Coturnix japonica: one gene and its partner. The protein of the gene in region 1 purifies or fractionates together with the protein of each later gene. This does not show direct contact. Links are inferred from orthologs where the notes say so. Each region holds a gene or a part of one and is shown on either strand. Other genes may lie near its edges.

Region 1 (16,116 bases):
GTGCTGCCATTTAGTTTATTAGTTGTCCCTTTGTTCTCATATAATGAAGCAGACAAAATAGTAATGCATGACTGACTTTCTCAATGTAATTCAGTTATTATACCTGGTAAGCTCATCAGAGGACATTAAAAAACACTGAATTCACACTTGCTGGAAAAGTAACTTTGTTAACTCTGTAAACTACTCTTTGGATTCTTAAATTTCCCGAACATAGCTGATATTTTCAAAAAGCTGTAAAAATCTTGCATACATTTGGGTCAATGTGTTTGTGACAAGGTCCTACCTGGTAGGTGGTTGTAGCTCAGTTACAAGTAAGAATGGTTTAGATGCATTCACTTCCAGCTGAGAGATATCAAGATTTGTCAAGGTTTTCAAATCCCAATCTCCTGATGCCTGAAGAAAGCTCAAAAGATCCCTGGTAGCCCTGCAGTCAACAGCAGGCAAAACTAAAGATGAAGGCGAAGACTGAAGAATTTCCTGTAACAAATGTATAGACAGTTTATTTAATTAGTTAATATTAAACACAAATCATTTATTTTCTCTATCCTTCATTTAATATTAAAGGTGAGAAAACAGCGTGGTAAACACTTAGTAAGCTCTCACCAGCCTGATGCTGGCTGCAGGCTGCTCCTGGAAAGGTGCAGTGAACTGACATCTCCATCACTCATACTCCTGCACTGTTTTGGAGCAAGCTTAAGACACACTGTGACCTCAAAATCTCACTGCCTTTTCCATGAGTATAATGGAAAAGGAGAGGCAGATGGTGCGGAAGTTCTCAAGGTGAGGAAGAAGGTGGAGAGTGTACTGGAGAATATGAGGCAAAAAGATGAGGCATCAGAGGGCCATGAGACAGGAAATAAATGGCTTCGTAGGTGAAAACCATCAATGTTGGAAACTTCAGCTCTAGTTAGTAGGGAGTGATACTTCACTTAACAAATTACCTTCCTTTGTGTTGTGGTTTAGCGTGCAATACAGATGATGTCTAATTCGTAACTATTAATTAAACAAATCTGCATATTTTAGGATCTACACAACAGTTGTCACCATGAGCTCTAAGAGAGCAAACCTTAAGCATTCAAGGAGCCAGTTCACATTGTGCCCTGGGGTTCTGCTTGAGAGGGTTTATGGTCCAGGACAGCTGGCTACTTTTCAAGAACCACCTCTTAAAAGCCCACTAGCATGTAAACCCATTGTATCGTAAGTCAAGAGAGCAGAGCAGAACACTGACTTAGCTAAACAAGGAACTTGTTTATGTATGACCTCTGGAAGGCATGTCCAGTGACAAGAGAGGCTGAGGACACCTGAGCTGTCTAGACTGGATGAGGCCAAGAGGCAACCTCATTGCTCTCTGCAGCTCCCTGAGGAAGGAAACTGGAGAGGGTGTTGCCACGCTCTGCTCCTGGGATCTAATGATAGAATGCATGGGAACAGAACAAAGATGCACCAGGAGAAATTCAATGCACCATTCTGAGATTCAGTATGAAAAATTTCATGTTAGAAACTGGAACAGACTTCCTATAGTGGCAGATGATCCCCTTCCCTGTGAGTGTTAAAAATCTGGACAATACCCTCACTTTAACTCCTGACTGGCCCTGAAGAAGTCGGGCAGTTGGACTTTTGAAGGTCCCTCCCAATTGAACTGAACGATTCTCTTTTTGGTATGGAGGCACACACAAACTTCATATTGAGTGCTTTCTTTCTGTCTATCTATTCAAAACACAGATTACAAGGCTCAGGCTGAGACGGCTCAAATAATGAAGCACCAGGGTATCTATTATAATTCTCATTGATGAGTTTCTGATGAGAACTCTTGAGTAAAATGAATTCTAAACATTCTTGTTCTATAAATTTGAAGCCTGCACAGCTGAAAAACACCTTCCCAAAGATTTTTCTGAACGATAAAATACACTTGAAAAATTCCGGGTAAGAACATAAATGACAGAGAGTTGAGAAGGATCAAAACTGATGTGCACAAAATTTCATACGAAGATTTGAACATTTTTTTCCTGAGTTCCAGTTTACAACTTGTTAACTTTGCTTTCACATTTTTTATATTTAACTCTTAGATCAAGTCTGTCACTTCATCCAACATTCAAATATCCGAGTTGTTAGAGACTCTTTTTCTCCCACTTAGTGATATGTGTTGTGGTGTTGCTAACACTTTTCCCCTCCTACTCTTTTTTCTTTTTGTCTGTTCTCTGACTGCCTACCACTTTTCTGGCCTCCTCAGTTCCTTTCTAAATGCTTGCACGTTTTCCTTCCTAAGTAAAGGTTAGTTATTTCCACATTTCCATAGATGCTCATACAGGAGGACTATGTAGTATTGACTGATTTGCCATACTGATAGAAAAATAACCACAGAAACTAAAATAGATCAGAAAACACCGATCTCATTTACAAGTCTTTGAGCAGGGTGCTTAGCACCTCCTAGAAGGAAAGGATGATATATTCACTTCTAGTTTGTTTTGCATATATGAATTTATAGCTAAAATCCTGAGCAACATTCCAACAGTCAATTATTTCTTTTAATATTTTAATCCCCCACTGCTTAGCAGCAGCCAGAATGGCAACAGCCAATTCTACCAAGGATATATATTAAGCAGTTTACTCATTTATTATAGAATAAGAGATAAAATGCATAATTACTGAGTAATGTCTGAGCTGTGCCTCTGCTTCTAACCAATCCTGCAGTGCCATCTGTCTCAGCTTCCAGCCATTTGTATTCAACCATTTTCCATTCGAAGAGCACACACAGCTGGATATCTCCTCATTAGCATCAGACAGACATTTTGATCACATGCATCTTGACATTTGACCACTGTACACTTGTTCTTAAAATGCCAGTATGTTGCTCTAAGCATTCTGGCATTTCAGGTACCACGAGCATTCAAAATACCAAACCTCCAGAAGAGGACAGAGAGTGAAGAGGACGACTGAGAAACACCTGGCACTGCATTCTGCAAAACGTCTAAACAAAAAGGTATAACCGCATAGTAGCTGGCAAGGGAACAGGGGAAAAAAATCCTCCGACTGACCTGATGACTGATAGCACAAATTCCTACACTGAGAATTTTTAATGGATCTACAAATTGCTCAGATTAATTTGCCTTCTGTAACATCTCCTGAAGGACCGCTCATGAGTGAAATACTGCAAGAAGCACCATGACTTGTTTACATATCCCACTGTTCAGGTTTTTTCTGAAGGTAGGTGTGAGAACTGAGAACTGAGTGCCATCTTCCACATAGGAAACCTAGTGTCAGATCTGATAGTGATCAAAACAAAATACTAGCAGGTTTTTATGGAAAATACTAGGGAATGATACAGAACAAATCACCACGAGACTGAATGAATTATGATGCACTTGTATCTTGTTGCACGTGCGGTTCTGCAAGTTCCCCTGTCTATAACAAAAAAAAACCACCAAAAATGAACAAACCCATAAAACTGAAAGAGGCAACAAAGACAAATCTACAGTAGGGCCTCTGTGCTGAATGTGACTGAGTAGTATTCCACAGTCTGGAGAAATGACTACTGAATGATGAATATGATGGAGATCCAGAACCACAGTAGGCAATGACTTACAATAATAATCATGCAGCCACCCAGCTAGCAACTAATGGGAGTTTGCTACTGTACGCTGCAGTTCTAAGGAGTTCGGTTATTGCCTGGGGAAAGCCAATGCTAATATTAAAGAAAAACAGTTTGTAGAATAGGTGGCTACTTAACACACACACCAAATCCCGAAATGCTAATCTTTGTATTTTATTATTCAATTAAAAAGTTATTGAATATTTAAGATAGATGATCTATCTACAAGACTCCTTTCTATATTAAGTGGAAATGGAATTCTTTCATTGCATACAAAACCACTGATTCCAGCCGTTAATGTAGCTGAACAAATCTAATATCTGCAAATGTGGTTTACATGTCTATAACTCTTACAAATATTACATTCTTTTTGTAGTACACGTGCTGCTACATGCACATACACTCACTAAAGGAGATCTCCAGATTAAGTTTGTGAATAAATTTGAATTGCTGAAGTTTAAAAGGAATATGCTGGAGTGGTACAGAACATCTATAATAGTTTAAAGAATCCCTTCCATAGCTTAGATTGTGAAAGTATAAAACTTTCAGATTATGCAACATGAAAGATTCTAATTTACCTAGTGAGAAAATCCAGATCTGACCTTTTCTTTGTCTAGTGCTCTGTGAGTATTACTGTAGAGTCTTTTGTGGCATGATTAAGAAGGGATTTCTTTCCCAAAGTAACTCAATTGGAGCACAATCAATGCAATAGCTACTGAGCATATTTTGTAGTCTTTGTTGCACGCAGGATGGAACTGGATGACCAGATGATCTTTAAGGTTTCTTCCAACCCAAACCATTCTATGATTATGAAGATCCCTTCTACACCTAAAATGCTATATGATGATGCACACAGATAGACAGAGTCAAAATTATCCATATGGGCATGTAAATGAAAAACAAGTACTTCATTTATTTTCTTTCACTTCCTATTTTCTTTTTTCTATGAGCAATTCATCCTCAGAAAACTATGCTAGATAGGTGTTAAGATTGCCCAATCCAGAACAAATCTAAGAAATGCTAGAGTTAAGGTTACCAATTTGTTGAAAGAAACTTCCCAGTTTCAAAGAAGCTGCAATTGGAAAAAGTTTATCCACTCCAAGACAGAAAAGAAACAGAGTCAAGGTCTGAAAGCAAGTGAACTGTTACTGACATGAGTTCAGCTTGCTGAGAATGTGAATTCAAAACTTTCTTCTGCCAGATACTGACCAAAGACTCACTTAAACATGATGCAGACCAATACATCATTAGGGACTTGCAGCAGTCATGTACACACAGCTTCTTAATAAAATCAAACCAGCTTTACAGTTACGTAAACGCAAACAAAATTTAGTTCAGACACCATTGTGCATAGATTTGGAACCCAGAGAGAAAGTACAGCATTCCAGAAAAGTACCAATACATCTGCCTGAGGATGGAGTCGCTAATCCTTATGCTGCAGATAAATATTACTCCCTTTCTCGCCTCAAAAAAGCCACGTACCTACACTGAATAGTTGTTTTAGTTCCAGCATAATTGTTAAAATGCTGTCATATGGCAAAGAGATGAAGGTTTGTATTAGGGATACAATGAAGATGTGAGGTTCCTAGACAGTATAAATGTAGAGACAAGTAATATGTGAATATTTATATATTTGACTATACATACAGCTTGCTACGTGGTGACTAAGAATTAACACTTCATGTGCTCTGATATCAGCTCTGTTCCTCCTGCACTGCCCACAGGAACACCTTAATGACTTTCAGGTATGAACACTTCCTTTTTCCAATAACAATTCAATAAACTGTCAAGGAAGTTCAACCACAGATACTAAGCAAAAAATCTATAAACCTTTTCACCAGGAACAGAAGTTTAAGCTCATGACCAGCTCAGAGTCTGTGTCTGGAATATATTTTGGATTACTGAAGTAGTACAGATACTAAAGTAATCCAGTATCTAGGCATATAGTCACACTCTTCAAACAGGGAATGACATGGAGCTGCAACAAGGGAAAATTCAAGCTGGCTATCAGCAAAAAGTTCTTCACCAAGAGGGCATCTCCCCAGAGAACTGGTCGTGGCACTGAGCTTTCTAGAGTTCAACAAGCACTTGGACAATGTCCTCACACATGTTTATGTGCGGTTCTGTGAGGAGCCAGGAGCTGGACTTGACTATCCTTATGGGTCCCCTCCAGCTCAGTATATTCTACGATTCTAGGAATAAATTAACTGTCTGGATAAGTCAGCTGCACTTTGCATGAAGATAAAATAAGTATTCAGTTTTGAAAATCTGGAGTACATACTTGATTCCTTACTTCTCTTCTTTGTGTGGCTTCAAAACACTATTTTGGGGTGCCAGTCTGGGAATTACGTCTATGTCTAGACAAAGTTTTTTTTTATTATTCAAAACTGCAACATGCCTAGAAAGATTATTTTCAGTTAAGATAATTCTGAAAACCTACTTTTTGAAATAAAACAGACACAAAAGCCCATATGCTCAAACTGAAATAATCCCAGTAAATAAATAAATAAATAGGCAAACTGCAGCAGCTTAGTTTAATATTGCCAGTTACTGTCTGTTTGCACCCTTCTTACATAATTTTTAATTTAAAAACACGCATATAAGGAAGTAAAAAGAGAGAAGTGCTTGCCTGAACATTTTGAAATGGATTCTTGTTACCATAGGATTCACTGTAGTACGTGAAATCGTCTACGCTAAGCTGAAAAACAAAGAGAGCAGATTGGTGAGAAGGAGCCATATTATCTCATGCAGATACAGACTTAAACTTGGCACTGCTAAAGGAAATGGAATTAATGTTACATACCCTCTCTTGAAAGAACAAAACAAGGTTGCTGGGATTTGGAGTAAAAACAGGTTGCAGAAGTACAGCCAGCTCCTGCGCTGAGACAATGTGTCCTTCATGCAAAGCAGGGTCTGGATTCCACTGGGGCCTGCGAAGAAAATATTTTTTTAAACATTGAATTTGCTGCCAGGGATGACACAGCTCCTTTCTTCAAACGCTCAGAACCAGTTTGTGATATCATCACCTTTGGATGAAGATCGTGTTTACTGTTCAGTTTACTTTTATCCCACTTAAGAGGAAAAGAATTTGCCCACTTACATCCTTATCCTGTGAACTGGATTACAGCAGGAATAAAATTTGTCCAGACAGGATACAAAACTCAGACCGGGAAGCTTTAGCTCTCCTCTTCCACAAGCACATATCATTTGCTATGGCCTGAAAATCTGGTACTTTGGTCCCTCTGAAAGGAGCTATTTGCAAAGAACAGAATATAGCATCAGCTACTACAGAAAGGGAATCCAAAGCCTCCAACTGCATCCACAGCAGAGATAAGAAAGATGTAATTGTACAGCAGTGGATATCCAACTCCCTTCAGATTTGGGCAAGTACTAGAACCCATGCTATTTCTGGTGGACTTTTCCAAGACCAGGTGCTGCAGATGTTCAAACTGGATCCTACCATGCCTCTTGCCTATCTGTTTTTCAGCTCTAGATGTAAACACTGCTGTGCAAGAACGAAATTTCTTCCTATTAGGCAGAAATTATCATTCAGCGTTTCCTTAGTTTTCCTCAGCTCCTTCATTTCTGTGTTCATTTGTGCTCAGCAATCCACATTAATTTGTATTTCTGAAGACCATGAGCTTAGAAATTGCAATAGACGTGATAACTTTTCGAGAAGGCTGACCTCAGGATGTCACAGATTTTCATACAAACTTTAAGAATAAAGAATTTGAAGAAAAAACTCTCAAAGATCCTAAATTCAGCAGCTGAGTAACATTTTAGAGGGACATTAAGGAGTGCAGGGCTACACGAAAATACTAGTAATACTGAAGGAAAAGAAGATAGATTCAATTGGGAAATGTTAAAGAACTGTTTGTATGAAGGGAAGCGATAGTGAATACCTTGTTATGTTTATTTTTGCAAATCAGGTAACTGATAACATCTTTTACCTGTCTAGCATTAAAAAAAACTTGAAGATTTTGAGAACCCTCTGGATTTGCAATTAAGTAAAAAAAAAAAAAATAACAAGGCTTTTGTCTTAAAACCCTCCGAAATTTAATGATTCTCTTTTGAACCGTTCTTTTCTTCTAAGGCTTCCTTGTTCCTTGGAGCAGCCCTTGCAAGCTATCTAACCTGCAAAAGCACCTTTTGTGAGATCTTTTAGCTTTCAGACATAAACTTCAATAGCTCCAGCGGCATCATTAGAAAAATAAATCTCGCTCAGCTGGTTAATAATTCTACCACAGTACAGTGTTTGCCTAATCCTCCTATTTCCCATTTGATACACGTATTTTGTTTCCCTTCACTAGCCTGCCAGGTGCTGCACAGTGTGCCTCACCTAATGAGCCGGTACCATGGTGCAACAGAACTCTCACCACAGGTCAGATGGGAAATGTCAGATGTGTTTTGCTGGCTGCTTACCATTAAGTGCAGAATGAAATGGAGATATGTGCCCATGTGGTGGATACGCTGAGGGTGTGCATTACTGCCTGCAATGAACCCAACTATTCCTTTGAACTCTTCACCTCCAGCAGTGTCTGAGTGAGAGATGGCAGAGGATGAGGTAGGCAGTAGGCCAGCACATGTATTGATTGCTGCTATTTATTGATGGCTCACGCAAAATGTGACATTCAGAGCAGCACAGCCATCTGCAGGCCCAGCAGGCCCTGCATCCTGCAGCACAGCCGTGTTTCAGCCATGGGGACCTCTGCTAGTGCTTGTGCTCTCCTTGGGCTAGAAATGCAGAAGCTCAATGCTCAGCTTCACTCTGTAGCCAGACAGTGTGGTAAAGAAAAGAGTTCTCTGCTTCCTTCTTGCTCTTAACTGCTTGGGCAAGAAGCCTAAGCATGCAGTCTACTACAGCATTGATGTGTCTTCCTCATAGGCAGAAGGGGTTGCAAAGATTTCAACAATTCTTCTATCTGGACCTCTGAGAGGACAGATGGTAAACAAGCAGGGCTTCCTCACTTGGGCCTGTTGTCAACAATACATACTTACTCTTCAGCTGCAATCTGAACTCCCACCTACAAGTTATTCTTGTACGTGGTCTCTTTTAGTCACTATTACCACATTAGATTACCACATAAGAAATACCGTTTTCCCCTGCACAGAAGAAGCCAGTAAGTTTATTAATAAAACATTGGCAATGATATTCCGCACAAAAAGCTCGTGTCACCACTCCTAGCAGCACCAGTACATTGACAACTGGTGACTACAAGAAAGAACAACTCAAGGGGCTCCTCAAGCAAACACATAGGCTCAGAGCATCGGCACAGAAGTCCAGAAAACTTACAGCTAAAATAATACACTGTTTTCACCATCTCCTTTCTAAGCTACACCTCCTCCCAGCAAGATTTTTCAGTAAATTCCTTGCAGCTTGAGGAAACATGGCAGATGTCCCATTTGGCACTTACACTTTCTCAAAATCACTTGTAATCTGGATATACCAGCAAAAAAGATTCACAGAGCTGCACAAACGAAGGTAGTAATAAATTCTCAGTGGCTACAAGCAAAAAACAGAGGCACACGGAGGGCAATCACAGAAACTACTTTTAATGAGTTTATTTCCTCAGGCTCTCTCTATCTGTGGAGAGAAAGAAATTCTTTTGAATACTGTTTCAAAATGGCTAAATCATGTTTCCGTTCTGAATCACATGTAAGAGGAACCTCTCCCCCATCCCTCCTGCTCTGGGAAGCAGCAACATTAACGGCTTCAGCTTAAAGTCTGATTTAAGATAAGGCTAATTTTCCCAGGGCAAAGTTATTTTGGAAAATGCCCACTGATAATTTGGTATCTCTTTGTGAAAAGCAGGACACCATGACCTACTGTCTTATTCCCTTCATCTTTCCGAATGCAATGGGGGAAGATTGCTGTTTGGTACAAAAAAATATATATAATAAACCTCTGCATCTCTTGTCTAATATTAACCTTGAATAGCACGATCACAGTACAGTAACATGAGAGATTTGAAGACGACGTATTCTCCTACTGCAGCTCTTCAAACACTGTATTATCCCTTAAGGATTCAGTATGGTGTCCTGACAGATAACCCAGGTGATGGAACAGATGGGTGCATCTCAACTCCTGTCTGGCAATGGATGAAATTGAAGTTTTAAATCGGAGGGATTTTTTCACAAAGTTAATAGAAACCCACCAATAATTACTGCACTTCTTCAGTCACCCCCTCCAGAAACTCTCACCAGCAGCTCCCACATTGCAGAGGGCTGCAGAACACCCACCGTAAACCTCACATTGCCACAAAACACCAAGATGCAAACAAAAGTTTCTGTCACTGTTCCTTTATTTTATAAATTAACATAAATCTCCTTTCCTGCAACTTCAAAGGATTTCACAAGAAACATCTTTTCCCTCACAAAAACTTCCCCTTTCAAAAACACAGAGGAGAAGGAGGAACACTTCTATTCTTCTATTGATGGAAACACCAAACTGGTTTAAACAGTCCACCATCCTGATTTTCTTGCTCTATATTTGTACAGACCTGAACAATCTGCAGTAGAGCGAGTTGCTAATTGCATCTAGGCTTGTTTTATGACCTCCCAGGGATACTGCTTATATTGACAACATGTGTATTATATATATAAACTAGGCCAAAGGCAGCACTGTTTTTTTCTCAGACTCTCAAGATCACTTTTATCCTAAGAACAACTCTCTCCAACACCTACTTTGCTTTTACGTATAGAGGTAGCTCGCATTACTGAGTTATATGAAGGTGAACAGATTAAGTATTTTGAATACAAAAGACCTTAATGTTGGAATATCTGTTTATGGGTCAGTTACCTAATGAAACTCATTGAAATGGGAACATTTTCAGCTTCTTGTATGCTGTGGCTGCCTGGGGCCAGAGGAAATGCTTAACGACACCCTGGAAACTTTCAAGAAATGGGCAGATATTTATCAAAGATGGTATGCATTACTGCTGAGAAAAGAATACGATGTCAAGGATACACAAAAAACAAACCCAACAAGCATCTCCTACATCTTCAAATGCATCTTCAAATGCAATTTATCAGCATCTCTCAGCATGGAAAAACAAGAGTATCATACTTGTTTGTATTGCACTATACATGGAGAATTCCCTGAAGAACTTCAACAGCGTAACTGCTAATGGTCATAAGACCTCTCCTTTCGCTATCTTCAAACAACTGCATTAAGAACAAACAAACAAACAGCAAAACCACGACAACACACAAGGATTTAGCTCTGAGACCTTAATTTCAGTAATCTTGCCCAAAGACATGAGATGCAGGATGTGATAAATGACAGCAGCGTTCAGCCCATCTGCCTGGTGGCGCTTAGATAGATCACTGCGCTTAAACATCTTCATCAGCTCAAAGCCTCTTGAAAGGCAGAGTGAGCACGGCCCGAGCAGCTGAAAGGGCGCTTATCACCAACTGGCAGATTCCCTTCTTGCTTTACAGAAGGGTAAAGAGGAAGGTACATAGGGTTGAACCCCTGGCTGGGGTGTGCCAAATTCTGACTGTGCATATTAGAGAAATGAGTAAGAACCCAGCTGTGAGCAGGCCTGCTGCTGAACCGGGTATAGCACGCATTGTGCAGAGGGCAGGAGCTCTCCACTGGAGGGTTTGCAAATAAGATAACGCTGAGTTATTCCTAACAAGTGAAAACTACGCACAAAGAAGTACTTCCTATTAAAATTAGGAACTGCATTTAAAGTTAAGAAAGAAAAAAAAAATAAGGAAAAGAAAGAAGAAGAAGGAAGGAAAGGAGAACAACACAGGATAAAAGCAGGGTGGAGGAGCCGGAGGAGTGAGCCCGGCCCGCAGCTCCTGGCCAGCTCCTCCGCCAGGCTGCCCCTCGCTACGCCTTTAAACCAGCAGAGCTGCAGCTGGGGTGCCTTGTAGTGAATAAAGCCCGGCCACTTCGGATCTGAGTAACGTGGGTCTTACCGCCCGGTTCAGAACACCGACATCACAACTATAAACGGGCAAACCCTCCCGTTAGGTAGCGTGCCCGGAGGCAAATTGATTCCCTGGGTCAGTTGGCAGCCAGCGGTTCTCTCCCACAGGCGGTCACGCAGCAGCACTTTCCCCACGGCCTCACGCACGCAGAGCGGCACGCTCCCTCCGCTCGCTCTCCTACCTGCCCGTGGACCACAGCAGCGCGGGGACGTGCTCCGCGGGCAGGCCGGGCAGCAGCAGCGCGGCCAGCAGCAGCAGCAGCAGCGCGGCGGGCCCCAGCCCAGCCATGCTGCCGCGCCCGGCGGAACTGGCCGGCCCGGGGGAGGCAGGGCGAGCGGCGGCACCGGCACGCGGCACTTCCTGCTCCGAGCCGGCTCGGGGCCGCCCGTCACGCGGAGGGCGGCTGATGCGGGCGGGCTGCCCCGGCCAGACCGGGCTGGGCCGCGCTGTGTGCCTCGGTGTCTGTGCTGCTCTGGCACCTTACAGCTTCACCTCGTGAAGGCCAGATCCCCGCCGCCGTGTTTGCTATAGCTCCTTGATAACAGCTGTGCTGAACTTCGGAGTAGAGTTCGTAGGAAAGTTTTCTGTGCTGCAGCAAATGTGTTCCGCAGCGCTTCTCGCCCTGCTGTGTGTTTGTTAGTGTCCCTCAGCTCCTTCATATGTGACACATTCGGGTGTTGACAGGTTTGAAATCTGCAGCACATCTCAGCTGCGGTTCCAGCAAAGGAAGAGAAAGTGAGAAAATGGGATCGTAAGAATGGTTTGGGTTGGAAAGGACCTGTAAGGTCATCCAGTTCCAACCTCCTTCTAGACCAGGTTGCTCACAGCCCTATCCAGCCTGGCCTTGAATGCTTCCAGGGAGGGGGCAACCTGTTCCAGTGTCTCACCACCCTCACAGTAAAGAATTTCTTCCTGATATCTAGTCTAAATGTACCCTCTTTCAGTTTAAAGCCATTTCCCTTCATGCTGTCACTACGTGCCCTTATAAAAAGTCCTTTCCCAGCTTTCCTGTAGGACTATTCCAATACTAGAAGGCTGCTATAAGGTTCCCTCAGAGCCTTCTCCAGGCTGAAGAACCCCAGCTCTCTCAGCCTATCCCTGTAATGGAGGTGCTACAAAGCTTGGAATGCTTGGAGTGTACCCACTAAAAACATGGGACTGTTCATCCACCTTCTGCATGGAGTGATACTATCCCCAAAGTACCAGATTTCAGAAGTGAGGAGCAAATTATGCTCACTGCAGAAGAAAATTGCCCTAGAGATGCTCCTGCTGCCGGGAAGTGGCTTCTTCTGCAGTCCTCCTTAATCCCTGCCGGCGCTGAGCTGTCTCTGCCACCACCTGACAGCATGAGGCAGCAGGAGTCATGCAGCACATGGTGAGCACATGGGTGCCTCATCCCAAGCACAGCAAAATAGTAAGGATGTTATACAAAGGGAATGGTTAGCTGTGCTAAAACAAGTTAGAACAAGGGAGAAATAAGGAAGCACAATGAAAATTTTTAAGGGAGGATGTAAACACCAGCTGAAGACATGCAGTTCTGAATCAGAGCACACATAGCTTGACTCATCAAGTCCATTTGCCTTAATTCACAGCGTATTATTCCAGCACTGTTGTCTAATGAGACACTTTGTTCAATTATATCTCAAATCAGATTTCAGTTACAAAAATAATATTAATGAGGAAAGTAATGAAGCCAGTCTTGTATACGTACCTTTCCATAACACTGAAGTTAACCCTTTTATTGCACTTTCCCCTCCTCAAAGATATTTCATAACTCCTTCATCTCCCTTTTCACTGCATGTCTGAGGGAGCACACATGTAAGGACAATCAGACCACAGAGGACAGATGTAGAACTGGAGCGTCCTCGAGAGAATTTAGTATAGATTGAAATCATTCAGTCAACATAAGCAAAATTCTTTGTAATCCTAGAGGTGGTTGACTTATCCATGGCATCTTTCAGAGTGTGAGATACCTGCTTTCTCACGTAACTTTCCATTTTGCAGAACAAACTAGATCCGTACTGCAGTTGGCAGTCTAGAGAAGTAGCATGGACTGCTCCTACCCTAGCTTTTATCCCACTAACTCATGCCTTCTGAGGCTGACTCCATTCATTCTGCAGTTCTCACAATGCAGAGCTCTTTTTTTGTGAAGCAGAGAAGTAAAGCAGCCTATTTCACTGTTTTTCAAACAGCCAATGAAAAGTAGGCTCTAGTGGCTCTTCTCCATTCCTAATACAGTTGTTAAACTGGACCAGTGCTGCCAGGATTTATATATATGAATCAGACATTAACAGTCTGACCTGAATGTATGGAATTCAAGGCCAACAAATACACAGACAGATATATTACACCCTGACAGGAACCTAACCACAAGAGCAAATGATTCATTAGCATGTGAAGATTCCATCTTGATTTATTTATTTATTAATGGGTGACTGCTGCATTTTCAAAGGGCTGAAAAATAACAGAATCATAGAATATCCTGAGTTGGAAGGGACCCACAAGGATCATTGAGTCCAGCTACTGCCTCCACAGAGCACTCACACTGTTTCAAAACTCAACTGCTGGCATGTTTTGCAAGTCCACACTCAAATGCTGACAGCATGAATTCAGATCCCAAGTCAAGAGATTCCTGGCTTCTTGTTCCTGAAACAGTTGACGTAAAGTAGACTGATGAAGATCAAAGAGAAGCTGATACAAGGGAGAGAAATGTAAAATAAAGGCATAGTGTCCTTGTTTCTGGTTGATTATATCTTAAGAACTGATCATCCCTTGGTTTGAGTGGGATCTTTCAGAGGGGATTTGCACACCCTGCACAGATCACACACAAGAGAAATGAAGCACAGCTGGTGGATATACTCCCCATATCCTGACTTGCAGAAACAATCGTCAAGTTTTTTGAAACAAAACCAGATTGTTTTCTCTCAGATTCCCAATATCACTTCTGATCGAGCTTCCAACTGAAAACAAACCCAATTTTCCTCCTTAATAACTCTCCACAAAGCACAGTCTGGGAATGACTGAAGAAAGTTCCAAAAAAAGGAATGAGAAGAACCCATTGATTTGGATCTTCATCTGCCTCCCCCGGAAAATTTGGCTCTTCAATATTTCTGCATATATTTGCTCCTTTTTTTTTCCCTTCACTTCTAAAAATAAAAATTTCTTGCCAAATGACGAAAAAGAAACTTCGCTACTGCAAAGATAGATTTATCAAAGATTCTTTTCTCTGAATAAATTAAAATGAGAAGTTCTTTTATCCACAAGCAGGAACCTAAATACAGTACAGACTGATATCTTTCAGTATACACAAAAGCACACTCGATTTACTCATGTATTTTCTATACAGGTTTCTCCTAGGAAACCCACAGGTGTTCTTGAATACAGGTTTCAAACTGCCTCTACATGAAGATTTTTTTTCTTAATCTCACACAAATCCAAAACCTTGAAACACAAAATACTGTGAAATCATTATAAAACTGCAATAAAGAATAAAATCATTCAATCGCCGTTTCTCAATTAAAATAATTTCATTAAAAGAAGCTGTAATACTGACATACCTTGTTTTTGCCATCTATTCATACCCACTGTTCTGAATTTATGCACTATTTCTTTTACAACTGTGTTCATATCACGTATCCGACATATTTCTCATCCTGTCAGAGTTGAAACACGAAACTCAAAAATAATGGGAAGAAATGGAACAAAATGAAGTAGGCTTAATTATCACAGAATGGCCTGGGCTGAAAAGGACCACAATGATCACAGAGCTTCAACTCTCCTGCTATGTGCAGGGTCACCAACCACCAGACCAGGCTGTCCAGAGCCACATCCAGCCTTGAATGCCTCCAGGGATGGGGCATCCACAGCCTCCTTGGACAACGTGTTCCAGTGCATCACCACCCTCTGAGTGAAAAAATTCCTCCTAATCTCTAACCTAAACCTCTCCTGCCTTAGTTTAAAAACATTCCCCCTTGTCCTATCACTATCCACCCTCATAAACAGCCATACCCCCTCCTGTTTATATTCTCCCTGGAAGGCCACAATGAGATCTTCCTGTAGCCTTCTCTTCTAGCTAAACAAGCCCAGTTCCCTCAACCTTTCCTCATAGGAGAGGTGCTCCAACCCTCTGATCACCTTCCAAGAGTTATTTCCTTCCTCTGGGCACCTTCCAAGAGTTCCTGAAAGCTTTTCTTTAGAAAATAACCATAATTCTCTTATGTTCATAATTCAACATTCCTGATGTAAGAACTGCTGAATGTAAAAAAGTGTGAATGCCAGATCTCTGTGAGATGATGGTAAAGTTAAGTCTGTAAATCAGACTAAAAGGGATCGCTCCTGCAACAAGGACAATTTACAAGATAAGCTAAAAGACCAGTGATAAAAATAAATGCCAGACATTTAATATACAAGTATGATTCTGCAGCCATAGGTTTGGAAGCTAACATGGTACTGCAATAGTATATTAGAAAATCTTTTTACCTAGCTCAGGCAGTAAGCCTATTCAAATTTAGGCATAAAAAATAAATAAATCAAGATTTAGATTATATATATATATATATGTATGTATATTTCTCATCTAAACATAT
Region 2 (16,890 bases), about 81 Mb from region 1:
TACCATCAGCAATAGGATACAAAATGACTGTTGTTACTGTGCACCGTTATTTTGGTTCGAGATGTTTTCCAAGACAGCAGCTCCTCTCCCTACACACCAGCAGCGTCCTTGTCGCCTCCACTCAAACTGTCCCGTAAAGCCCAGCAGGCAGCAGAAGTGTTGCTCAACATTTGCATTTCAATGTGGTTTCCTGACTTGTACTTTTTTATTTTACTAATGCAACATTTGCGTATTTCAGATCCAGTTTGGGCTTCCTCTGCCTGTGTGTCACAACAGCAGGACAGGGGCTGGAAGGACTCTAAAGGTTGCCATGTTGCCACAAAGAAGGCTGGAGGATCATCCAAAAAATACAGCATGCTGATTCCTTAAAGATCCCTTTATTTTATGTCTCACTTTCTCTTTTTTAACTCTCAAAAGCAACACTCAGGCTTCAACCACCTCAGACTTCTCCCTTTTTTCATGAATGCTGGCACACTATGAGGACAGATACCCAAATTCCCATCCAAAAGGCTTTACCACAGCTGATTTTCAGGCGACCAACAACTCACCTTGCTTAAAATAAGGTACTAACAGGGCTGCAGATTGCAAAACTATTGCTTGTCCTGGTATCAGACAGTAGCTGCAGAGATTGTTTAATCTATCAAAATGTGTGTTACAACAGTACTTGGCCTACCAGAATCACAATATAATACCTTTTTACCTCAGAGATACACTTATTCTTGTGGCAGACATGAGCTCCTCATTTCTTTTGGTACACAAGGTCATCCCAGCACAACTGTACGTTGTGGCAAAGATGCTGTAACTGACCAGGAAGTCCATGCAGAGATCTCAGAAATGGAGCTTGAGCATCTCCTTAAGGAACATAAGAACTAATATAAGAGGACATAAGAACCATCCATCAGTAATGGGAAAATTCAAAGAAGCTTACTCTATCTTAAACGGGCCCAGTGTCAGACACAGCCTGCTGACTGCACCTGCTCTACTCAGCTAAGCAGCAGCACTGAAGAGAAGCAGCTGTACCTATGAATCAATAAACAGTGAACACCCCAGGAACTATTGTTTTATTGAACGACAAAAGCAGGACTACAATCCAGGTAGATTTAAATCAGGTGTTGGTCCAGTCTTATCATCAAAAAGTCTACTTTTTATTTTTCAATAATATCAACACAAATGGAAGGAATACGAAGCATCCTAACAGGAACTTTGAGCTGTATGCAATGCTACACCACGACCAGACTGGTGCTACTTCAATATTTCTAGACTCTCCACTGTATAGGCCAGCCGCACTATCTGCAAATCATTAAAACTCAAGGTAAACCCAGCCATTCTGGCTGTGGTTCAGATTTAAGCCATCATCGTGTGATCCAAAAGCCATTTCTGCCACAGGTTTCCTAACCTCATAGAAATACTTCTGCATTTAATATATTACTAAAGAATAACAACTATCCTCTCCGAAGTGACGTTATAAATATTTACATCAAACATTTACAACTGGTTCATAATATACAACACAATATTTAGCTACAACTCATCATTTCCTTGTGAAAAAGATTCAAACAACACTGCTATCATCGTTTAAGATTTTTTTCAGTTTTAGTTTCCTAACATGATAAAAAAAGAAATGGAATGATGGTACTTTAATAACAGCTTGGGGGATTATAACTTCTTTTAAACAAGTAGCTGTCTATTTCTAAATCCAATCTAGTGCTACTTGCTATTAAAATAGGCTTAAGAGGGGGGGAAAAAAAAAGATACTTAGAATAAATACACCTTTTAAAATTCCACAATTAACCACATATTTGTTTTCACTCAACTTAAGGGAGATCTTACTCATCATTTCCTTGTGCTGGAATACAGTTTAATTCAATCCATTCTTATCTTCTGATTCGTCATCCTATAAATAATGCTGTCATAGCCAGGATCCATGTTCCAGAGGTTGTAGGAGATTACTATCACAGCTAAAGCAAAGCCTATCATCATCCACAGAATAATGTTGAAGATTACAGAGTAGTTGTAGTTATAAGGATAGGCAAGGTTATATGGATTATCTGTTTCACCCTGTAACAAAGAAAAGAAGTGCATTACTTTAAAGTCTGCCTTGTATACAAAACACGTGCTGATTACATCAAAAATCCAAACAGTCTAAATAAAAGAGATGCATTTCTGTCTAGTGATTCTGATGCCAGGGCACAAAATGCTGAAGTGATTCTGTGACTGACATTAATGGAATCCAAAGGACTGAGCTGACAGGAGCCTCATGAAAGTCAATGAAGACTCGCCAACATCAGTCAGTATTCTATTCCTTAAGTACAAAGCTTTACTCAAGTAAGGAAGCGATGCAGTTTGGATACATTCACACTTTCAATAGGCTAGACAGAGAACCATGTACAGATACTACCTCTGAAGACTGGAGAATGGAGCGAGCTTTTCTTGTGAGGGGAGAATTAAATGCCTTTACAGCCACCATTTCTACCACTGCGTTCCCACCATACAAGTTATACATCTCATCTGCAAACTGGAAGAGCAAAAGAAGTTTAATTTAAAACTTCAACTGGAACTGAGGAGGGCTTTGTTAGCAAAATAAAACATAACATGTCACTTTCAGGATTACCAAGACTGGGGGAAGTTGTTAAAAAACAAAACAAAACAACCTGATACACCACTGTCTTATAGTTTGACCAACAAAGTTTCAACTGGCTTACAACATCTCCTAGATTAAACAGTTATTTGACTTGGTAAATTCATGCTTTTACACTTCTACAACACACTTCTGACACTCAAAACATACCGGCCTCAGGTCTTAACAAAGAATTTTAGCTAGTCGCTATGTAAGACCAGCTAAAGAGTTACTCTCTTAGAGCCCTGAATGTTTAGATTTATACAGCTTTGAGGCAAGGTGAAACTAAACCCTGCATCCTGGGAGAAAAAGGACTTTTCACTAAGCCAGCCTCAGAGAAACATACTGACTTTAAGTGAAAGATGTTTGTTTAGGGAAAACAGGCTCGTGTTTATACAAGTTTTAATAGCTTCCTACTCCTTTATCCAAAACAGCAAACACAGTGTTGGTTAGATAGGAAATATACCTTTTGCAAAGTGTCTACGAGAATCTGAGAAGCATCTTTGAATTGCTGAGAGTCTTCTCCATAATGTTTTCCAATTTCATCCAAACCAGACAGTTCCAGGGAATACAGGTCTGGAGAGTGATCTTTGGCCAAGTGCTTGTGTCGGGACAGCTTTGGAACACCATTGAGGGCAGAAAGAATTTAGTTCACAAATAGGTTACTTTAGAAACACATTGCCACAACATCAGTTTGCTGGGAGCGACCACAGCTGCAGCCATAACATTTGACTGCAGATGGGAACAGCCTCCAAAAACAAGCAATGCAATCTGTTCCTATCTTCCCATCGACTTCAACTATGGTAGTTCTGATCTGCAGGACCAAAACAAATTAGTTTACCTCATAATTTCTTAAGAAAAATGAGCAGTCTTTCCCCCTTCATCCAGAGAAGGGCAATGAGACTTGTGAAGGGCTTAGAGAATCAACCCTTTGAGGAGAGGCTAAGGAAGCTGGAGCTGTTTAGTCTGGGGAAAAGGAGGCTGAGGGGAGACCTTATCACCCTCTTCCAGTACCTGAAAGGTGCTTACAGTGAGAGTGGGGCAAGTCTCTTCTCACTAGTGACAAGTGATAGGATGAGGGGAAATGGCCTCATGTTGCGCCAGGGCAAGTTTAGGTTGGATGTTAGGAAACATTTCTTTACAGAACGGGTAGTCAAGTACTGGAATAGGCTCCCCACGGAGGTGGTTGAGTCACTATCCCTGGATGTGTTTAAGAGCCGTTTGGATGTGGTGCTCAGGGATATGATTCAGCAGAGGGTTGTTAGAGTTAGGGTACTATGGTTAGGCTGCGGTTAGACTTGATGATCTTCAAGGTCTTTTTCAACCTGGGTAATTTTATGAATATATTCTATTCTATATGCCCTCTGCTCTCCATAAAGAGAACACAAAAGAAACTACAGATGACTGAAGTTCTCATTTTCTTCCATCAGTAACAAACACCTCAAGAATGCATTATTTAAACCGTTGCAGGGCCATAACAGCAGGCTTGAGTGTGTATCAATAGTTGCCAAGTACCCTGGCCATAGATTTGCTACCTTTAAATAATGTCTGGGAAGTCTGAGACCTCAGGTAGAATTAAAGTGTTTATTAAAAAAACCAGGCCTTACCAGGGTTACGATATCACGTAGAACTTGCAGTTCTGAGAGAAAAAGTAAGTCAACCTGGGGACAAAGACAAAGATGGGTAATTGCTTTGATGGCACCAGAGTTTGAGAAGCCTCATTATGCTTTAACTCTACATATTTTAGAGCAGACTGTAACTGTTGCAGCATCAAAACTTGCTAGATGGAAATTATTCTTTTAATAAAGCTACTCGCACAAGAACTTAAACCTTAGTTCTTAGAAGTCAATTTGGAAAAAAAAGGGACGCTCTCCTCAGCAAAGGGAAAAAAATAAAATGGAAAAGCATATTAGGAAAATGAAAACAGACTCTGGAAGTACTCAATATGGCTTTTTTACCTCATTGTTCCTGCTGAGAGAGTTGAGAGGAAGGGAGCTGAGAATGGAGTTGTCCTGGAACAAGCGGTTCCGCAGTTGGCGCAGCGTGACAGAAAGATCTTCAAATACAGAGTTTGCCTTGCCCACCATGTACACCCTCTGCAGGAACAGCCATTGTACAATAAGAACAGAAGTTAGAATCACAGAAGTTCTCAGGTTGGAAAAGCCCTTAAAGATCACTGAGTCCAACCACAACCTAAGTATACTACCTAAACTAACAGCCCTCCACTAGCTCTTTATTTTACAGTCCTCCTTAGCTCTTTACCTTCTCAAACCACACAGTAATCATCAACCATACTTGCAAAATGCCCAAAGCAAAATATTTTCACATAGTAACTGGTTTTGTTCCAGTCATACAAGTGTTTACTACCCAGAGCACTTGCTGTCAGAACCGAAGTAGTACTCACTTCCTCGCTGGGGGCCAGCTGCAAGACTACAGGAGTTTCCTCAGAGAACAAACTATGAATAGCATTGGCAACGCTGTCCAGACTGAAGGGAACAGCCTGAAACACAAAGCCTGGTTAGATTTTGGGGTAAAACAGAAAATAGTTACTCAGCAATGATCACTTGAAATTATTTATGAATACTGGAGATCTAGTAGTTGGCCAGAGCAACTTTGGGGCAGCTCATTTGAAGCCACAGCAGTAATTTCTGAAACAATTAAAGACTAGAAGCATACAGAAAATATGGATCCAGTACACTTCAGAACTTTCATGAAGTTACAAGTGTGAGCACGACTGAAGGTTTCTTTATATTTAAGGGTTCTGCACATTAGTTATGTTACATGGTCTGGTTCTGACAATCTTCAACCAGTTTTATTGAACCCAAAAAGGAAAGCCTAGGTCAGAGTCAGACTGGGTTATTCATGGCTACAGCCTGACCCAACATTCAAGGGGAAGGGTTCAAGCAAAAGGTAAAATGATGATAACATCAAGCACTACAGTAGAAAGTCTTGTACTCAGAATTTACTAGTTACAGAAGTTGCATGACTGCATGTCATGTGCATACTCACATTCTCAATAGGGTAAGAGATTCCTTTTGCAGGCAACGTCAGCTTGTCCACCCCTTTCACAGTCACTAACACAGCAGCTCGGGGTCTGTGAAACAGATCACCAGCTGCAAGCCCAGGCCAGGGAAGGTCCTATTAGAGAACAGTGAAAAATAAACCACAACAACCACCACAACCACCGTTTGTATTTCAGAGGAAGTCAAAGGAACCCATTCTGACCATTATAGCAAAATTAACTACTGCAAAGGGCAGGCAAGCTTCCTGAGCATTATAGCAAAATTAACTACTGTCATGTAGACATGACATAGCTGCAGTATGGAAGAAACAGGAAGCAGCTAGCACTGCAAGAATATCCCAACTTGCTGCTTTGAGTATCTGGTTGCACAGACATTGATAAAGACACCTTGCCATTAAAAACTTTCATGTGCTACTTCAGTAGCCACTCACCTCTTCTGAAGCCCAGGAGAAGATTCACTGGGCAATGTGGAATAAAGCCATGGGTACCTACTCACCTGCCACAAATCAAATGTCATTAAAGCTATACTCCAAAGTCTAATCTGGCAAACAAATTAGGTTTTCAAGTCTTTGGATTATTTCCTAAGCATCCTAAGTGAAACTGTTTGTCTGCTGAGTGCACAGGGGTGGGAACTGCATGCAGATGGGTCTCAGAGCAACTGAAGAACAAAGCTAAAGCCTCTGCAGGCTGGCTTCCTTCTGTAGCTGATGACTCAAACTAGCCAGCAAGCACAGCCCTTTTTTCTGCTCATATGACCAATACAACTCTGTGCTTGGAAACCACACTCTGCTAAGTCACACATGCCTCACAATAAACAGGACAATATCTTATATATTCCAACACATGACAGGAAGCATGCTAACCAAGCAGCTCTGTAGTTCTAGAGTCCTTTTACAGCCAAGACCTCAAACATACCTCTTCAATAGAGAAGCCCATGAATAATGCAGCTACATCTGGAATCCGATCGCCGGGGATGGGCCAACCTCCATCTCGAAAAACAACTGACTGAGGTGACCGTAAGATACTGAACTCATCCCCGCACACACCTAAAAGCAAGGAAAAAGGGCTGTCAGTTTCATACAGTCTTTCCCTCACCCCTGCAGAAGCAAAGCAAGCTGGAATTTTCATTCATTCTTGTCCTTCTCATAGCTATCCATCTAGGCAAAGTTAAGTAATGAGTAACATTTGGTTTTGTGCTCTGGAGCACAGGATAAGGTTTGTATATAGCTAAGACTAAGTATGGACAAATCCACATTTGGATTAAAGCAACAGCACAGTACATATATATACACTCAGCAGTGGTTTAAGTGTTACGATGCAGACCCAGTGAAGCCAGCCCCCAGCAAAGTCAGGAAGGCTCAAAACACGCAGCTACACAGCAGCACAGCTGATCTCTTCCTGAACTGCTTGGCACAAGAACAGCCTGAGCCACTGAACCCAGAGCAGATAGGACCAGCTAAGTCCACCTGTGCTGGCTGAAGCAGAGCGCTACTAGTAGCAATCCAGCTCCTGCAGAACAGCTCCAGTTGCCCTCTCAGACACAGAAGGCCACAAGACATTTATTTTAACAGATCACAGAATGACCTGGGTTGGAAGGGACCTCAAAGATCATGTAGTTCCAACCCCCCTGCCTGGCAGGGCCACCAAACATACACATTTACTGGATCAGGTTGCCCAGGGCCCCGTCCAACCTGGTCTTGAACACCTCCAAGGACGGGGCATCCACAACCTCCCTGGGCAGCCTGTTCCAGGGCCTCACCACTCTCCTAGTGAAGAACTTCCCCCTAACATCCAACCTAAGTCTTCCCTCTTTTAACTTAAAACCATTTCCATGAATTCATTTGAAAACATACCTGGTGCAAATCTGTCTATCAACAAGCAAAAAAATAAGGTGGTACACTGAGGTTAAATGAATGTTAAGGAAAATGATAACCAATCTGACCTTGAGGACGTTGCCTTAAAGCCCGGCTGTGACTCTGCATAGTGTTGACAGTAAACCTGAGCCATATTACAACAAACACCACAAGACCAAAGTACTGCGCATGGATAAAAGGAGGGCAGAAGGAAAAAGGCTGGAAAAGACCCCATCCATCAGCCCATCCCACCATGCCCACGTCCCTCAGTGCCACATCCACACGGCTCTGTAACACCCCCAGGGATGGCGACCCCACCACCTCCCTGTGCAGCCTGTGCCACTGCATCAGTGCCACAGACTCCTCACAGCTCAGGCCCGAGATTCACCGCAACCCCCACCCCGTCCCCACCGCCTCAGCCCGGCTCCCTCCCGCCCCGTCGCCATGTGCTCACCGGTGAGACAGGCCGCAGCCAGCAGCGCAGCCACAGCCAGGCCGCGGGGAGCCATAGCGCCCAACGCACCACCACACCGCTGCAGCGCCGCCCCTCCCAGCCGTGTCATGGGACCCAGCGGTCAGCTGGGCGCTGCCGCGGTGGGGGAGGAGCCTCGGGTTGAATGGCTTTTCCGCTCGGCCAATCAGATCGCGGCACAGCTCTGCGCCATTTCCCTCACTCGCCCATATAAGGAGTCCGAGCCTCACTGGGATGAACTGACAGCTGAGCTGGCCAATCGGAGCCTTTCCCCGCCCACTGCGTTAGGAGGGGGAGCGGACCGGGTGGGCGGGCTCTGAGCGGGGTGGGTGGGAAGAGGCTTTGATTGACAGCTGAACTAACCAGTCGGGAAGCGTCTGGGCTGGAGTGGGTTGGGACAGAGAAGTAGAGAGCTTTGGTTACAAGTGTGAGGGGTAGAAGCAGAAGGCAGGGCGAATAAGGGTGTTTTAATGAACTTATGTGTCCAAGGCCCGGTTGGATGGGGCCCTGGGCAGCCTGGTGTGGTATTAAATAGCAAAGAGGTTGGTGGCCCTGCATGTGGTGGGGTAGGTTGGAGATTCACGATCCTTCCGACCTGATCTATTCTGTGATACTGTGAGATAACGCTCTGTGGTGCCTGCTGGTGTGTGCACCTCATACCACTGCTTTACAGGCTGCCAGAGCTCTCACTGTTTGCTCCAGGCTTCATTTAGATCCCAGCTGTGCTTGGCAAAGAGCGGGTGTTGTAGCCCTGTGAGCAGTAGTTGTGACCAGATCCACACGCAGTGACATTATCCTGTTAAACTGATTTCTTTTTGAGCTTCTGCTCAGGGCAAAGTGGAGAAAAATAATGTAATGAGATGAGACAACGTGCACATGAGGTCGGAGATTATATTTATTAAGCCATATACTGGTAGTAGCAGTCACAAAATCAAAGTGCCAGCTGTAGGCAAAGCACCAGAATTGACTGCCTGTGTTAGCACTGTGCTGTGCAGAAACGTCTGCAGCGGCAATTGCTCATGTGATGTTTAGATGCTGCCTTTGCCTCCAGCTCTGTCTATACTAACAGCATTGGAGATGGTAGAAGAGGGAGTATGAGAAAAGGGCTAAGTCAAAGAGCCAGCCATTTGGCTGGACTGGATTGTTGCCTCATCATTTGGGTTCATTCTATCACGGCCAGTCCTATTCTGCTGGAGAGAATGAATTCCTGGCACTGGGTAACCATTCCATGAAGGCATTCAAGGCCAGGCTGGATGTGGCTCTGGGCAGCCTGGTCTGGTTGTTGGCAACCTTGCACATAGCAGGGGGGTTGAAACTAGATGAGCATTGTGGTCCTTTTCAACCCAGGCCATTCTATGATTTAGAGCTACCAAGTCGAGAATCATTCCCTGTGGTACCAGGCATTATACCATCTCAAAAAATTTATATACAAACACAAAGAATAAGCTTTTAAAACAAAATTGAGAACATAAAACATTGTCTTCTGTGGCACTTTCTCATCTTGGCATGCTAACAGAGCATGTGCTTAACACAGTATGGTTGGACATCCCTTAGCCTGTGTGTTGTGGGAATGGAGCAAGTCCAAGAGCCTGACAGGCAGTTTTGGGACTGCTGACATGCTGAGAGGCCAGGAGGTGAGGTGATTGATTAGAAGCACATGCGCCTATCTTGGCTGTCCATTTACACTGCTTGCAAGCAATGAGTCTCAAGTGAAGAGTTGTTAGCCTCTGCCACTGATTTGCTTTGTGGTTTCAGCTCTCCTGTCCTTGTTTGCAGATTCTATCTATGTGAGAAGAAGCTGTGTTCCTGCCACAGTGGTCACTAAGACTGAATTAATCAGAGGCATCTCAATTTCAAAAGGGCTAAGGGGAAAAACAAAACAAAACACCATTTGTTAATGAGCTGAGGCTTAGGCGGCATCAGAGCTGATTTCTTGAAGACTGAAATAATATGAAAAGTGCAAATGCTGCCATCTCTGAAAAGTGGAGGTGTTTTCCAGACCTGTTTGTGAAAGTGCCTTTCTCTCTGTCAGTTGATAGCTGGCTTTCTTGCTTTAAAAGTGATTGCCAGCTTTCTCACATGTGGGACTGAGTCACAAAGTATGCACAAGAAGCCTACTTTAGTGTTCTTCTTGCTAGATCCTACATGCTTCATATAATGACAGCTATACTCTTCCATGTTTTCATGTCAGTTCTCTCCCCTACTTTGTTTCTTGCTTTGCCAGGGCCTAAGGGCTCACTGGAGGTCAGCATGCCATAGAGGGCAGTCCCCATCGTGTGGCCTTTGCAGCCTGAACAGTGTTAAGGGCTAGAATAAGGTATCAGTGAGGCAGCTGACATGGAGGAGGGCCTTGCCTCTCAACCCTGTACTTCGGCCTATGCAGCCTTCTCAGCCCACAAGTGATAAAACAACAGGATTTTCCTGAGACTGTGGAGAAAAATTAAGATGTGTTCATGATGCATGTGAACTATACTTGATTTGGTCATTAAATTTTCATTCATATTTTCTTAATTTTAGCAGAAAGGATTTTTAAGCAAAGCAGATTTGCCAGCAGCCTTTGGTGGATGATTTCAGTAAGCATCGCTTCATAGTGAACACTTTTGGCACCATCTTGTGGTCGAAAATACAGCTGCACTCTGTATGGATTTGTACTCAAACCAAAAGTTAAGACGAAACACAGCTTCTCAAGGGCACTTTGTTTGGTGTCCCTTCTGTAGGGCCCAGTTCTGCCCCACTCCCAAGCCTTTCTGGTAAACAGTGGCTAAAAGCATCACTGACATGGATGGCAGTCACTGTGTTGTTACTTTAACCCATCTCTTAGCTCTGCAGGAAACTATTCATTTTTGCAGAGCTTGTTTTCTTGAACTTCAGAAAGCTGAACTGACTTGTTGAGAAGTGAGATAAGCATCAGAGCTAGGGCAGGGGAAGAGGCAAGGATGCATAGGTGGGTACGGGGCAACAGAAGTCCTCCCATATCAGTGAGCTGATAGCATTCAGTGAGCTCAAGCTGCACTGTGTCTCTGCCTTACATCTAAGCTCAGAGGCCATGATTATACACTCATTTCAATCCAGCCGCTGCTATTGTCAGAAGAATTCTGCATTCCCTGCCCTTATTTGCTCTGTCTCCATTGCTCTGGAGCCCAAGTCAAGGGAGATTTCCTACCTCTGGGAACAGAAAAAGCTTATGAGAAGATGAAAGAAACAAACAGGTTAAAGAGGCTCTCAGATGTAGACAAGGAAGAAGTCTTAAAAATAGGAGGGCTGTGCTTGACCAGCTCTGTGAAGAAGCACTCCTAGCCATTGTGGATTTGGGATGAGATGGATAATCTCAACTGGTTTGAATGAAGTGGCTTTAAATGAGATATAAAGATAAGCCTCTGAAATGTCTTCCTTATCATGTCCTAACACAAGCTAGAGATCACACAGAAAGAAACAGCCTTGAGGTGAACAATTCTGTTACTAGAACTGGTGGAACAGTTCTCACAATCTGGTTAATAATCTGAATAATCTGGAATAGTGGAGAAAATTGATTAAAAAAACCAAACAAACAACTATTTTGGAGATGTGTAAAAAATAATGTTAGATTGATAGACTGAATTTTGCTTATTTCTTAGAAAAAAATAAGCATAGTAAAGCCTATGAAAACAAATGTTCTTCTGATGGACAGATACCTTCTGAAGACCCTACTATACAGGCCCTATGTACTACTTTTATGTCTATTAATCATGTAACCATGTCTAGAGTGCATTTGCAGAATTCAGTGTTGGTTTGTTTTTTTTCTCTGTACTGTCTGCTTTTGGAGAACGTAAAAGTATTTACCTCCCTATAAACCATTCAGAATCTAAAAGAAGCCCAAAGGGCTGCTACATTCACTAGGAACAATATAGAAGCATCAGCGGCACTGTTAAACCTGAGTTGGGACTATGATGCCATAAACGTCTGCCCAAAAGGAATACATGGATTTGCACTGCAGCACAACAGTTCTGGTGCCAAAGAGGTTTTGTAATTACCTGCTGGAATTGAAGGACTACTCAAGGAAGAGGAAATTTCTAGTTGAAGTAAGTATATTAGTAAGGGTGCTCCGAGGGGTGGTTTGGGAGCTACAAGTACATCAAGTGCAGTACCTCTGATATGCTCCTATGCCACCGTGCAGGAATTCTGGGTGTTTAACTTATTCCCATTCTTTCTCTGACCTCCAGTAAGAAATACAGGGCTACATTCATTGGCAGCTCTGGTCGGAAAAATGTTGCTGATATCTCAGGGTGGTCCCGCTGGTGTCCAGTTAGTTGCCGCTGTAAGAAAGCATTGCAGTATTTCCCCAAAGCAGCTCATCTTGCCTCTGCCAATTGCTTCAGCCCGTGTTTTTACAGTCAAGAGTCCTGTCAGAATCAGAAATGTCACTTTCTCTTGACAATGAACAAGGAGCTTTGTTCCAGTAAGGGTTACCCCCAGAACTACGCTGTCTCTTTCATTGGAAAACTTCTGCCTAGAACATTCTTGTGCAAATAAACTCAGCATTCCAGTGTGCTGATGCTGTGGTGACACTGTGTTGTACTGTACTCTGCTTGGCTGTTGAAGAGAGACATTGTAGTGTGGATAAATCACAGCACTTGTCCCAAACGTGACAGCTTGTAAAATTCGTGCTGTGATGTCTTGGGCCAATGCTCTGGAACAATGTGGAGATGTTTAGAAGCCGTTGCAGTATTAGTTAATCTATAAATTACTTGTCCTGAGACAGCATTTTTTGGAAACTTATGTAATAGTGAAATGTTTTTTGAAAGAGAGGTATTAAAAGCGCTTTATTCTGCGGACCAGCGCAATAACATGTTAGGCAGCATCAAAGCATTAAATAAGATGGTTTGCATCATGAACGCTATATGAAATGGCTTAACAAACCAATAAAAGGTGGGACTAAAACAAAGTTATCACACAATACAGTTTTTGAAAGTGCCAGACAATTTTTCCAAAGCAAATAATTTTCCAATAAAGCTAGTTGGAATTTAAAGGAACATAATTTTCCAATTACTGAATATGATATATATTATATATAATATATAAATATGATACCAGATATCACAGTTGAATACTGCTTTGCATATTCAGTGTACTGCATGTATGGTACGTAGCAGCCTACTGAAGTAGAAGGGAAGAATGAGTGTTATTCTCCCAACTTTGTAAATAGGGCAAATAAAGGAACTACATCAGAAGAATGGAACAAATCTTGCCTATATCATGCTGAAGTCCGTATGTTAGTTAAATCATGCTTTTTTTTCTTTTTTCTTTTTTCTTTTTTTAAACTCTGCCAAAAGCCTTTGTATAATGCATTCCATAAACAAGGCTGTGAACACTACAGCACTTAGAAAAGAGTGGGCCATTTCGGAGTCTGTAGTGCTCCACTATGGTAGCTGGTTTTTACAGTGTGCAGTATATGTGCATTAAGCTTTATGCAGTTACAGTCTGGTGTTCAAAGCAGGGCTATGAGAAAGAAGGGGACAGACTCTTTAGCAGGGCCTGTTGTGATAGAATATGGGGAAATGGTTTCAGGCTTAAGGAGGGGAGACTTAGACTGGATGTAAGGAAGAAGTTTCTTATGATAAGGGTGGTGAGACACTGGCACAGGTTGTCCAGAGAGGCAGTGGATGTCCCATCCATGGAGACATTCAGTGTCAGGCTGAAGGGGCTCTAAGCAACCTGATGTAGCTGTAGGTGTCCCTGTTCATTGCAGGGGGGTTGGACTAGATGGCCTTTAAGGTCCCTTCCAACTCAAACAATTCTATGATTCTGTGATAAGGTTCAAGTTCCACCAAGTTTAGTTTTGGGCAGCAGAGGGCTGTTGGCTGGCTGTGACCCGTGTCATAATTTCATCTTGTGGATTTGTTTTTGCTTTACTTTTAAGTGAGTGCTACTGAGCTAGAAGGGTGTCTGTCACTCAGCAAAGCAAAGATTTTCCACCTTTGGGCTCACTTGAGGTTGATGAGGTTAGCATTCATCTCAGTTCTACTTTATATCTGCATGCAAAGCTACTCTTCTGGGATCTAAATTTTTTCAAATCCAAAATTTATTATTCTTGCTTTGGAATGTTTTTGTTTTTTTTTCCCCTGTGCCTCTAAAGAGTACAGGGTGGCATAGATGAATCTGAGAGATTATATCAAACTTATTACTTCAGAACCTGAGCACAGTGTTCTGAGATGAGAATATATCAAAGTATACTAATTTTCTCCTTTTGATGCTTCGTACTCACATGCTTTTAAATCACTCAACATGTGCTCATGTCAGATCAAATTCAGCCATGGTAGTGCCAGGCCAACTCCAATGACTTCAGTAGGCTATAATTAGCGCTTTACTGCTTGTTCCAGTTTCTCTTCCAAATTCTGATTTGGGAAAACACTTATGTAATTATGAGTATCTGTTAAATCCATGGTATAACCCCTTGTATGTAATCCTTTCTACATCTTGTACATAAGCAGGAGGCTGGGGGAAGATATATATATATATATTTTCCTAAAGCATTTATTCTGGGGGGAAGAAATAGATTCTGTCCCATTCCTGGAAGGGAAAAAGTAGGGCTAGTTCAGTGTGGTGGTTTCTTGTGTCAGGTAAGCAATAAATCCATGCAAAGAAATAAGGGAAAAGACTCCTGGGAGTTTTGTGAATTGTATTTGTCTTCAATTAATTTTAATGTTATATTTAACTTTACGTTAAGTACCCACTTAATGTTTTGCTGAATTGGTATTTCCACCAGATACTATTTCTCTCTCAACATACTGCATTGAAAGAAATTCAGAAACGAACCTCTCATAATTCCCTAAACTCCTCCAAATGCTGCTCTTAAGTGATTTGGCTGATTCTGATTGCTCATCACTTCTTTTTCACAGAAACCCCACCCTCCTTTACTGACAGCCTGGAGAATGCTCCCAAGCCCTTTCCACTGACAGAAACAGACCTTAGAAAATGATGAGCGGAACAAGAAAATCTATCTCAGTCTAGCGGCACTGAGTAGGGCAATGCGCTACTCCATTTCTCTACTGGAAGATGACATAAACGGATGGGCAGTCTCAGTGGGGACAGTTTGGCAGTAATTTCTGTTGCTGCAGGGGAAAATCCATTTGGTTTGGTCTTTCCTTGCAGAGAAAGCCCAGTAGAGACTGCCTGTTTTTCATGTGTAAGTGCAGGCAACATTTTTATTCTTGAGTCTCGCTCATTGTGATAAGCAAACAGTTTTTCCCCTTTACTTATGAGAGTGAGGCTGTGGTCTTTCTCAGGGTGTACAAAGAAACATAGAGTGAGATTTGGGCAAGGCTGTGGTAGTGTACGGGATGCTTATTTCTCACAGCTGAGCATAGTAAATGCTCTGTTCTGTAAGGTCTTGGTTATGGACCTAAGCAGCAAAATTTGAAACAAACAGAAAGGGCTACAAGCAAAATTAAAACTGGTATAAAATGGTATGAAAAAAATAGAAGATTAGAAAACACAGTTTTCCAATTGAAATTCGACAATATATTGAGATTTGTTATGTCTTTTTATGTGTTGTTTTGTCAAAGACATTTACATCACAGCCAGCGCCATCTAAAGCAGTGGTATTTTCTTTATGATTGCAGAGGGCTTTGAGTCAGGTCCTAAATGCTCTGAACCTACTCTTGTCTTTCTTTAAAATCAAATGGTGGTTGTTGGACTGAAGAACAAAACAGTTGGGACCAATGGAGGTCCCTTTCCACCCTGAGCTAACCATCCAGAGGTTCTCAGCTCCTGCTGATGCCAGCCCATTGTGGTCATTGCTTTCATGCAGTGTCCTCACTCATCATATTTCAGTGCGATTTCTCTGCTGATGAGTGCGGTTGAGCTTGATTTTGTAAATGCTTTTAGGATCTTGGAGCACTGCTGGACAGCCTTCAAAAGTATGGATGTGACAGCACGAGCATCTGGAGGGTTTGTGTGCAGATAAAGCATCTGTGATGTTGGGAAATCACTGCAATGTTTTTGCCAGACTGAAGTCGAAATGTCCATATCTAATTGAATGGCAGCTTTTGAATCACAAACTGGAACTTTCCACACTGCAAGTGCACACTTGATCTTATGGCAGAAAGAGTAGTTTCCAAATCAACACAGGGCAATTATGCAGCTAAATTCCTAGCACAATTAAAGAGCACTAAAGGCATGTGAAAAATAAAAGTCATTTTTAAAGCTAAAAAAGTAATCACAGGTTGAGGTTTTCCACAGCTTTATAAAACAAAGCCAAGGTTCATTTCAGTGCCAGTTAAAAGTTGCAGTCCAGAAAGAACATCTGTGCTGTGCTACTTTGCGCAAAACAAATAAGCCAGTAAAGTTAAAGAGGACATGGGTATACTAGACTCAACATGCCTAACAAAGAGACCGTATTAAAAAGGAGAAGATTTTATTATATAAATGAGCTCGTGTGTTTCCATGCTTTGGAGAAGATGAGTTAAAGTCTGATGTCTTCTTGATTATGCTCTAATACCAGTGCTCTGAGAGGCGGCCGACCTGGAGACTGCACGTCAGCTGGTATATGCAGCTGATATTCAGGTCATTGTGATGTGAAAGGGGAGTTACTGAGATAAAGAGGATCTGCATACCTCAGCCTTGCTGATTCTTAATTATGCACAGATAATACATGTGTTTGTTCTGTATGGAGCTGTGTGGATCAACTGGTAAGGCAATCAGAGTTAAACACTGGGTACCTTTTGTGAATTAGCAATAGTTTGCCTGTAAACCAACCGCAGGAGTTTTCTGCCATTAGCACTTGCAATACATTGGTGTTTAGGATGGAAAAAATGGAAGGCTCCAAGGCCTATCCAAATGTTCTGAGTGCTTGACAACAAACAGGGCTGTGCTCACACCTCTCGTTGCCTTTGGGCTGCTCATTCTGGTCATAGGGAGCTCCTGATGTGCTAAGGGAAATGATGTTGGA

What was found.
Region 2: the proteins of ATP6AP1 (region 1) and ATP6AP2 purify together in Homo sapiens (affinity purification with mass spectrometry; 5 studies listed by BioGRID and IntAct, counting the BioPlex papers as one, with this or other methods). This does not show direct contact. The link is inferred for Coturnix japonica from reciprocal best matches to the Homo sapiens genes ATP6AP1 and ATP6AP2.

What each region holds. Positions count from the first base shown.
Region 1 is NC_029516.1:19,956,929-19,973,044, forward strand, and holds the start of ATP6AP1 (V-type proton ATPase subunit S1), read right to left. Parts: upstream 11,922-16,116; 5' UTR 11,819-11,921; coding exon 11,712-11,818; intron 6,812-11,711; exon of another isoform or gene 6,797-6,811; coding exon of another isoform or gene 6,690-6,796; intron 6,520-6,689; coding exon 6,393-6,519; intron 6,288-6,392; coding exon 6,219-6,287; intron 478-6,218; coding exon 284-477; intron 1-283. UniProt on the Homo sapiens protein: Accessory subunit of the proton-transporting vacuolar (V)-ATPase protein pump, which is required for luminal acidification of secretory vesicles.
Region 2 is NC_029516.1:101,200,668-101,217,557, forward strand, and holds ATP6AP2 (renin receptor), read right to left. Parts: upstream 8,078-16,890; 5' UTR 8,056-8,077; coding exon 7,947-8,055; intron 6,686-7,946; coding exon 6,555-6,685; intron 5,756-6,554; coding exon 5,627-5,755; intron 5,118-5,626; coding exon 5,022-5,117; intron 4,714-5,021; coding exon 4,576-4,713; intron 4,279-4,575; coding exon 4,225-4,278; intron 3,234-4,224; coding exon 3,084-3,233; intron 2,516-3,083; coding exon 2,399-2,515; intron 2,059-2,398; coding exon 1,864-2,058; 3' UTR 1,039-1,863; downstream 1-1,038. UniProt on the Homo sapiens protein: Multifunctional protein which functions as a renin, prorenin cellular receptor and is involved in the assembly of the lysosomal proton-transporting V-type ATPase (V-ATPase) and the acidification of the endo-lysosomal system.